Drosophila melanogaster: one gene and its partner. Changing the gene in region 1 together with any one later gene gives a genetic interaction. Each region holds a gene or a part of one and is shown on either strand. Other genes may lie near its edges.

Region 1 (4,910 bases):
GGAGTGGGAGGTGGCGCAGCAGAGGCGTACTGGTTGCATTGCAATGGCGAAATACAGATGTACAAACGCTGATTGGCTCAATTGGACGACTATTTGAACTCTGACCCCTGTGCGATCCTCATCGGCAGCTCTGCCCCTTCCGCCCCGTCCTCCTCCTCCGCCAGCCACCCTTTCACCCTGGAATTTCCCGATGGGCGACGCACCATGACCGAAGCTACTAATTTGGGCCAGTGATCGTCGCTGCGGCGATCACTTGGAAACGTCGTCATCGCCATCGCAGCTATCGACGGAAAAGATAGCACTTGAAAAAAATATCTCTATTATATTTCTTAATTAGAGTCACAATCTAAAAGTTCTTTAATGTTTCATATCACGAGGCTTACTCGCTAAACTATTTATAGCCATAAAAATACATGTTACTATTTATTACTTACCTAAATGCCCATTAATCTAGATTTTCTTTCAGTGCATACCCACGGAACTGAGCAGGGGCGTGCAGGGCGTGGGCGGGGTCGTCCGGCTGGTCGCCGTTTATGGGCATTTGACTTGAAATGTCAACGTAAACGTTGCTCGTTGCTCGGGGAGAAACTGGTTAGCCAACTGAGGCGACTGGAGACCCCAAAGCGGATGCAGTGCAACTGAGCGCATCTTCAGGCCCACCGACCGACCGACCAACCGACCGTCCAAGCAACCTGACGAGGAACCCCAGCCCCGCCCCCTTTCCAAAGAGATTTTCCGTCGCAGCCGAGCGGAAATGTTCCAACAATTTATAATTAAAGATTGCCAACTGGTTTCCATGAAGATCCAAGATTTATGGGATCGAAAACACCTATCAGCTAGCACCTCCAAACATTTTGTATTACAATAGAGCGCTTTTCCCAGGCGCGTGGCGCTTATTTCATTTTCGGCCAGGGGGTCGTATTCATAATTATTTCAAATGCTTGAGAGCATTATCGCACACTGATTAGAGTTCACGGAATTGTCTTATCTATGGTTTATGTGCAAAAAGCTCGCCAATAGTCACAATTGACAGCTAATGGGTATGGCATGCTCGATCATTTCAAGTTTCCAGTCACAATAGGTGTGTATGTTATCTAGTGAGAGAACGATCCCTTGGTATTTCGGCGCCCATGCTTCTGGTATCAGCATGAATCGTTTGTTTAAACTTTATCTTCTATTGATTAACAACTAAATCGAGCGCCCCACGCGAATTCGACGCCGCCCACAGACAGCGGTTGCCTATTGAGTTGTTTCGTAGTAAACTTTGGTGGGTTTTAAATTATTTAAATTATTACCTCTGCGAGCTGTTGCTTCTTTCGTTGCCAAGGAAGTGGATGGTGGATCTGTAAATGTTTACGCGCCTAATGATTTGTTTGTGGTCTTTGCACACACTCCTACTTCTCAGAGTATAATAACATAATCGAGATTATTATGGCAATTGTGGGGAATCTGGGAATTTTAAAAAATTACGAACATAAAATACGTATGTTAATTGAGATTATTGTGAAATTATTCCGGAATTGGAATTGGAATTTTGTGGCGCATGCAAGTCTCTCAAGCTCTGATATAAGATTGTTTATAAATATTGAAATATAATGAGCAGCTCAGGGGTGTCTTTCAATCGTTAAAACTTTAACTCATATAAGACTGGCGCATCAAAGCTTCACTGTACCTCAAAATATAGGTCCGATTTAAGATATAAATCTTGGACGCTAAAACGGATACGGATCAAAGCGCGACTTCCTTAAAAAATTATCTTATTTTCGTATTCTTCACCAGTTCTTTTTGAATTGTTTTTGCTGTATGTCGCTCTCTTTGCTTCTCTTTCTCTTTCGATTCTCTCTCCGCATGCGCCGACTTGTTCATGTTCGCCGCCTGTTCGAATCGAATCGGCAGTCAAAAAGAAACTGCCGTGCTGGGCGGACGTGTAGAAGAGTCGCTCCTGAAAGCAACTAGACATTCTGCTGTAAATGGCAAACTAATATGTTTTAAATTGATTAATTCACAATTAATAGAATTTAATTCGTGCGCGGCGTTGAGGAAATAAACGGTTCTTCTTAACTCGGTGTGTGTTTACATTGCCCGGTGTGTGTGTGCGCGAAACGGAAATAAAAAATAAACAAGAGCGACAGCAACAACGCCAACAACAACAGCAACATCAGCGAGAGCAAAGCAACGCAACAAGAAGTGCAAGCAAAAGTGAAAAGGAAGACGAAAGAGGAAATGCCAAAGTACAACAACAAATACACGAACAAAACGCCAGAGTGCAAGTGCATCGCGTGAGTGTCTTACAGTGTGCGTGTGCGTTTGTGTGCCCGCGTCTGCCTGTGTGTGCGTGCTGCTGAGGCGGCGGCGGAAGTAAAAACGCTTGACTTCGCCTTCTTCTTATTCATTTGCTCCGCTTTACGGCTGGCATTTGTCGCAGAACGAAGCGAAAACAAAAACAAAAACAGAGAGCCTGGATTAGCCCCAAAAGCACACAACCACCGCCCACGCGGCGCCCCTCACCAAAAGGAAACAGCAACACAAACAACAATGGCAACTTGGCGCGACGCCCTCTTCGTCATCAGCAGATAACAACAAGAACAACATCGAATTAACAGAAACAAAACCAAAAACAAAAATAAAACAAGAAAGCGAAGCAAAAGCTAAAGCATTCTGGGATCTGGACATATCCGCTTCCGCGTTGCTTCTGTCGCTAAAAAGCTCAAGAATCGAATCCGAAGCCCAACGCAAACAGACAAATTCACTCACTCACCTTACAGTACGTAACCACAGTGCACAGTGGAGCAAACAGGTGAGAATTTTGATAATTTGTATACTTTTTGTTGTGAACTGTTAAATTAACCATTGTCAAAATAGTAGCAGAAAAGAGTGTCAAAAATAAAAACATTTTTTCTCAATATGTAAGCACAATGGTTTTTATATCTGGAGTTCTTTTATATTCGTAATCGTGCAAGAATCGGTGTTTACAGACATTACCCCTGTATCACTCCATTGCCGTCGTTGCTTTTTTTTACGAATTGGTTAAAACACCATCTTTTGGTACATGTATTTCCCATAACTACGTCACAATGGTCATGGAAACAGAAAAGTGTCTTGTCTGAGCAGCTGATAAATAATTGCTCCACCTTAATCTGGCTTTGGTTATCTGCTGCATATGACTTCCCCACTTCGCTCCACCCGACGTCTTACAATGTCTGAGTTTTGGTCTCTGGTTGAGGTCAACAATTTGTCGGATCTACACGTGTAAACAGATAACTTGGGCTATATTTGGTTCGCAGTACACTCATATGAGATGGATGAAGACTCGGCAACAACGGTTTATCTAAGGTTTAGTTGATTTATTTGCCTGTTCAGAGGATCTGATTGTGGCGTTTTCATTTGGGGCTTGTTTAAATAATAAGAGTTACAATTTTATGGGGATCTTGGGAGTGGTTTTATAGTTTAATTATTGTTTTGTTATCTGATTGTTGCGCATAATTTGTTGTATGTTCTTCTTGTTTCCAAATATGATTAGATATTTCTTACAGTCTAGTTGGATTGTGATTAATTATTACCTGTGGTTGGTTGAGAACCATATGCAAATACTCATAGCTCAGTCTAGTAACAATATGATATGATAGTAATTTCTCTTCCCAAGCCCAGTGTCTTGACTCTCATTGTATGCACGGTACGCTTCACCGATTCCCTAGCATTCTACAATACGAACAAGATCGATTCACTTGGAAAATAGCCTCTTCTATTTTCACATTCCACTCCACATTACGGTACCTGGGTGCTTTTCGTAATGCCCGTTGCATCATATTGGCCAGGTCCGAGTTTTCCGCCACAAAAATGATGAAAACGGTAATTATCGGAGTGCATATCGGTGTGCTTTGCGCTATATGCTATATGCTATAGAACCGGGCTTTCGGAATCGTTCTTTCTGTTCGGTTCACGAGTCTCTTGTTGCATGCACTTTTCTATGGAAGTGAAGTGAAACAAAAGCGGAGCGTTGAGCTCCAATTAGGGTGACTCCGGCGACTCTGGCAAGCGTCAGCGAAATCTTATCGCAGGGGCGCTATGGCGAAAAGAAATGCCCACACTGTCATAAAAGCGTATGTACATACTTATGTGCATATACATATATGTAGTATGTACATTTAAAAAAAGTAAAACAGCCAGCGGAATTGTGTTTATTTATTTGCTTTTGCCGACCGACGACGTCGAACAAATCAGCCAAACAGTTCCTGCTTCTGCCGCAGCTATAAGGTATATATGTATGTATGTGATTTCAGGGGGTGGCGGTGGGGGGAGCGAACTAGACACACACCTGATCGTGCGCCACCTCCGTTATTTTATTTTTTTGACGAGAGCAGAATTCTCGCCAATAAATTTCATTATGTATAAAACAAACACATGCACTGTTTGGGTCAACTAAATAGCTCCCAAGGAAAAGAATGATTTACTGGTGGTGAAAATTTCACTTCACTTTTAAAATTAAAGTCACTTTTAAAATTTAAAAAAAAAATTGAATGTTCTATTAGCTTTAATATCTTATCGGTAAACACAAAGACCTATTATAAATAAAACGTAAACAATCCCCTAGGCTGGTAAATAATTTTATAACGCAATGTCTTTAAATTAATCTGTCCCTACTTACCTGCTTATGATTGTGCGCACGGATGTATTAAGATTTGTTTCTCAAAAATAAACAGTTTCTCTCTTCAATTAGCGGGAAACGAAATAAAATTTGTAGAAGCTGCGATTTCGCTTGGCTGTTTTCCTTTCCTGGTTCCCCTAGAGACTTGGCCTGGTGACCAGCCGGCGGCAGAAAAGCGGCAAAAGCAGCGTAAATACAATAAATTAAATTCACTTCCGCATTGCTCCCAACAAAAAGAAACAACGTAATGGGGAATGGGTGAATG
Region 2 (4,908 bases), on another chromosome or scaffold:
ATACACACAGCTGAGGCAAACAAATAATAACACCTAGGCGCTTAAATAAAAGTTTTTAGGCCAATCGTCTCAAGCTAAATGATTTGATTTACTTTATATAGGTGCTCTGTATGAACTAAGTTAATTGACATATTGCATTAACAATCTTTACAGACACAATAATCTTAGTTCCAACTTGCAAATTGCTAACATAATTTTTCCAATATTCCCACATATCTTAAAACTGTAATTACATTTTCAGTGCTATTCTCTCCACCTGCACTGTACATGTGTATGTATATTTGTCGCAAAGATTTTTACTCATTTGTAACGGAAGCAAATCGCTGGTCAGTGGGTGGTGTATTTGTGTTGTCGTGGGTGTTTGAGTGGTTGGGCGCTTCGGTGATGAGCATAATCCGCATAGTTGTTGCTCCTGCCCCTTTATTATGTAAAAATAGTGACTTTGGCTGGATTTGGCTATGCAAAGTACTTGCTAAGGCAATCACCTACACTTGCGGCAACTGCTAATTGAGAAATCCACACGGCGCTGACATGGAATCATTCGAATCCATTGAAATTGCCAAATTAGGCGTGGGGGTAACCCCTTGAACTTATCGGCTCGGCTTAACGGGTTTAACAAAATTAAATACACACATATGCGCATGTATACATATGTTCATGCTTGTAGAGTGGCTCCTATAGTCTGTTTTGCGAATCAGAATCCAAGTAGAATAGTTTTTTAAGTGTTGTCTCAAAGATGTATGCATACATGGATGTATGTATGTATGTGTGCTTATGACTCTGTAGAAGGTCTATAAACTATGTATTTTGAGGTTTTGAAATGCGAGCTCGAATCAACCCCCTTCCCCGTTTCCAGCTCGATTCATCCTCTTCAACAAGTTCATCTCATCATTTACAGTTTTAGCATGATCCGAAAAATAACAACAACAACAACGACAACAACAAAAGCAAGAAAGTGGGCACAAATAATCGTAACAACAACAATTGTGAGGTCAGTTTGGCACTAGTCAGCGTGTGTGATTATGTGCGCACTTATGTCTGCGTGCATGTACATACATACATATGTTTGTGTGCGAGCACAAAGAGACAATGCAAATTTGCACTCAAACAAAGAGAGAGCGAGTGCAAGTGCGAGTGCGAGAGAAAGGGAAGAGTTCATGAGCGTGCGTTGTGAATGGCTGGAGGGGTCGAGTGCTGTGAGTGGGGGGATCTTTGTTTATCATTTTTGTGTACTATTATTAAGGCGCCGCTGACGGTCGATGACGACATACACACACACACACACACACACACGCAAATGCAAACATAGAGTTTGCACGTGTTTGTGCAAAGTGTTTAGCCGCAAGAAGTAAAGTTCTCGTTTTGATTTTGTTTATTCAAAATTGAAATTCCCAGAAACAAAAGCTCCCATGACGATGATGATTCACATGCCAGACGCTGCGGGGAAAAACATCAGGAACTTTATCAGCTAATTGTGTCACAAGAGGACAAATAAGCCAGAAACATTTGCCTGCGCGCGTTTCTTGGTATAGTGCCATCAACTCGATCTCGATCTCAGTAGTTCATCTTTTATAATGCCCACACACACATACATATGTACATATATGAGCATATGTACATATGTACATAAGTCATATGTACATATATGAGCATATGTATGTACATAAGTCATATGTACGTACATACGTTTTTGATTATCTTAAAAAATTGTAATCACACGTACTCCTGCCATTTGACTTAGACCCACTTTCGATATTGACAAATTTTCAATGGTTTTACATTTTTTCCCCACCTCTATTCATAATTTCTGTGTCTCTTGTGTTGCTTAAATGGGCCGTTTTGATTTCTTTCGCGTCTCATTCCAATTCCATCCCTCTTCCATTCCCATTGCCACACGCTTGGCGCTCTTTTGCATTTTCTTAAAGTCGCCCAGATAAGTTCGGAATTACGTAATTAAGCGGCAGCAGCAACAACAAAAACAACATAACCAACAAGCTAACAATTAAGTATTTATTGCTTTCAATTTGCTGCCCGATAACAAAAGAAGCCAAAAAACAAAAAGGAAAAACGAGAGACTGGAAAAAACAAGCAGAACAAAGTAAATAAAAACCGAAACGGACACACATACACACACACACACACCGCTACCTGCGTCGACAGCGGCAGCGAAATCAGCGCCTCGCTTCAATTTTATTCCGTTTGAATTTGAAGATGTTTTTAGTGCACTGCCATTAAGTCCTTAGCACGCGCTTTTATTTCGCTTCGTTTCAATGTGCAGGTAGGAATAACAAAAAGCGGAGGATGGGAGTGACAACGAAATCGAAACTTTGCAACAAAATTGCATTTGAATGAGCAGCGGGGGCGCGCGGTAATTTCAATTATCAATAACATATTTAAATTCCCCATTCTCCTCCCCTTCTATTATCCTCTGTCCCTCCTTCCCCCCTCCACGGACTCCTACACCTTTTTTAGTCGCTCTCTCAACTCTTGATTGCTCTCTCTCTCCCTCTCTCTGTGCGATGGGAACGTTCTCTTTGCCTTTGCATCGGCCACTTCACTTCAGCGGAGAGCACAGTGGGATAAATTGGCAGTTGATGACCCATTGTTGCATTATTGTGTTTTAACCATAAAGCCAACAAATGCTTGGCGTTCAAGCCCTTCATGGAGTAACGCATATCAACGGATTGTCGGGGATTATCCAACGTCTTAAAGTCAAAATCTTACAAATCGCAGTATTTACCTGGCAAACGTGTTAATCCACAGGTAAGTTGGGCTGAAACCACCCTAAGTCAATATCAAGGGTTTTTTTTTAGATCTTTCTAAAGTTTAATTGTACGCATGTCTTAGCTTCGAATTCTTGTCATCCGAAATGCTTTGTTGTCCATTTGTTCTTGTTCTGGCCCACTGTGCCGCGTGTGAATGAACGTATAAAAAGTGAGAGCGTCGCCTGCCCGACTCATAAACGAAAATCAATGACTCCCAATGCGCGTACCCTTCCCTCACCCCCCTGCGGAGCCCAACGCTTTTTGGGAGTGATAAATGCCGCCTCAGCGTCGTCAGCAGATTTCAGCCTGCGCATGTTTGTCGGCCCGCAAACACTCGCAAACACACACACACGCTCTTCCCGTGATGTTTGTTGATTTGGCTGCATTCAAGAAACGACAGTGCTTGGGGCAGTGGGCATTGTTAGACTTTTAGTCGTTTCAACTCTACTTTCAGTGGGTATCATCCGCAACCAAAAGGAGGAAGGATGAACATTGCATGTGTGTACATACATATGTACATACGCAGTACGTAGTACGGATTACGTATTACGTATGGGCAGTTGCCATTTATGCAAGGTGGCTGTTCCTGCACTCGAACACATGTTTGTGTGGTCATTTGTAATTTGGTCAGGCGAGCAACAAGAAAAAAGGATAATGAAAGGATCAAATGTGCGTAGAACGTACATATAAAGGGTGTGATATCACAATTATTTTCGATGACTTCGTTTAATGTTGGAAAAGTAGACGGGAATGCATTACATCGAAGTGAACTATTTAACTTTGGATAGAACTGTTGTTTTTTGTAGGCATTTGCATTTCTCGCCGCTTCTTCTGCTCCTCCTCCTGCTCTTCGCTTTGGCGTTGGCGAGAGAGCGCCTCGTTGGTCTCTTTGTGTGTTTATGCTTTCAACATTGATACGTGCCACTTTTCGGATGCAGACTTGCGAGAAGCAGCGGGGGGGGGGGGGGGGGAAGAGGAAGTGGCAGAAGCTGGTAGACGGGGGCAACGTGTGGGGACAGCTGGGTGAGTTTGTAATTAATTGCGGCCTTGCCTCCCCTTCACCGCCAAACATCCTCATCCCCGGCAGCCAGGCTCCCTCGCTCGCTCAGGCAAACTCTCTCGCTGAGAAACCAGCCGCCAACAGTTTGTTTTCTTTTCTCGCCGCTCTCATCGTCACTTCCGACTCGTCGGGGGCAGAGGGTGGGCCAGCGGCATACTCTTTGTCTAGTCGCCAATCTCCCCGCACTCCACTTCATTCATGAAGCACAAAGTGTACAGCAGACACTCGCTAAGTGACTAGTGTTTCGTAATTCATTAAGATTTTTGTTGGTTTTCTTCTCTCATTTTTCCCGCACCAATTCTGCACTATTCACAAGTAAAAATGGCACCAACTCTCTTATTTGTGGGCACTAAAACGACCATGAATCGTCGTTCGGTGTTCACTGTACCTGCTGCCAGTAGCCCAAAAACGGACAGTGGCTGAGGCGTCAGCGTCGGCAGAGCAAAGAAAGCGCGCTAGTTACAGTTACAGTTACGTTACAGAGGGCCAAAGACAATGCTAGGCTTGGTTAACGGTAATTACAGCGTTTGTGGGGGGGGGGGGTGTGGTGTAGTGCTCGGGCGTAGCTAGGCAGAGGGATATTTGTTAATACATATGTAGCACTCGAATTCTTTAGTTGGTTTATAATATCATCAAGAATGAGGAAAAAACTAGCTAATTTGTTGATAAATGTTAAGATGCCCCTCTGTTTTAAGTCCTCACTAAGCCCATGAAAAGCACCGTTAATTGAGTGGGATGATCCCCATTGAAAGCGCAGTACTACAGCTAATTCCAATACCACTTTCAATATCCAATTGCTCGCCTTTCAATCGTCGAAACGGTGAACGAAGAGGAGAAAAGATAAGGGTATGTACCGAAATGTGGAAATACCCGAAAGGGCCATTGGAATATGGGATATTGAACCCTAATCGTGAAGACCTCGTGTTTTCTTTGACTCATCAGCCGATTTTGCGATAATGCGCTCTTTTTGGTATCCGTTGGATGATACATAAATTAAATACATAAATGATAACTTATAGAAACACCATACACAACTGTTTAGAAATTTGTGTCAATCACTGTGACTCACTCATGATTGGTGGC

The links. Genes that interact genetically often act in the same process or in processes that back each other up.
Region 2: of aop (region 1) and Raf, changing one suppresses a phenotype caused by changing the other (phenotypic suppression), as found in Drosophila melanogaster (3 studies listed by BioGRID).

The regions. Positions count from the first base shown.
Region 1 is NT_033779.5:2,175,734-2,180,643, reverse strand, and holds the start of aop (anterior open), read left to right. Parts: upstream 1-1,889; 5' UTR 1,890-2,797; intron 2,798-4,910. UniProt on the Drosophila melanogaster protein: Ets-related protein that functions as a negative regulator of photoreceptor development acting antagonistically to pnt and the proneural signal mediated by RAS. It acts upstream of SINA to inhibit R7 development.
Region 2 is NC_004354.4:2,293,591-2,298,498, forward strand, and holds the start of Raf (Raf oncogene), read left to right. Parts: upstream 1-1,875; 5' UTR 1,876-2,368; intron 2,369-2,563; 5' UTR 2,564-2,763; intron 2,764-4,908.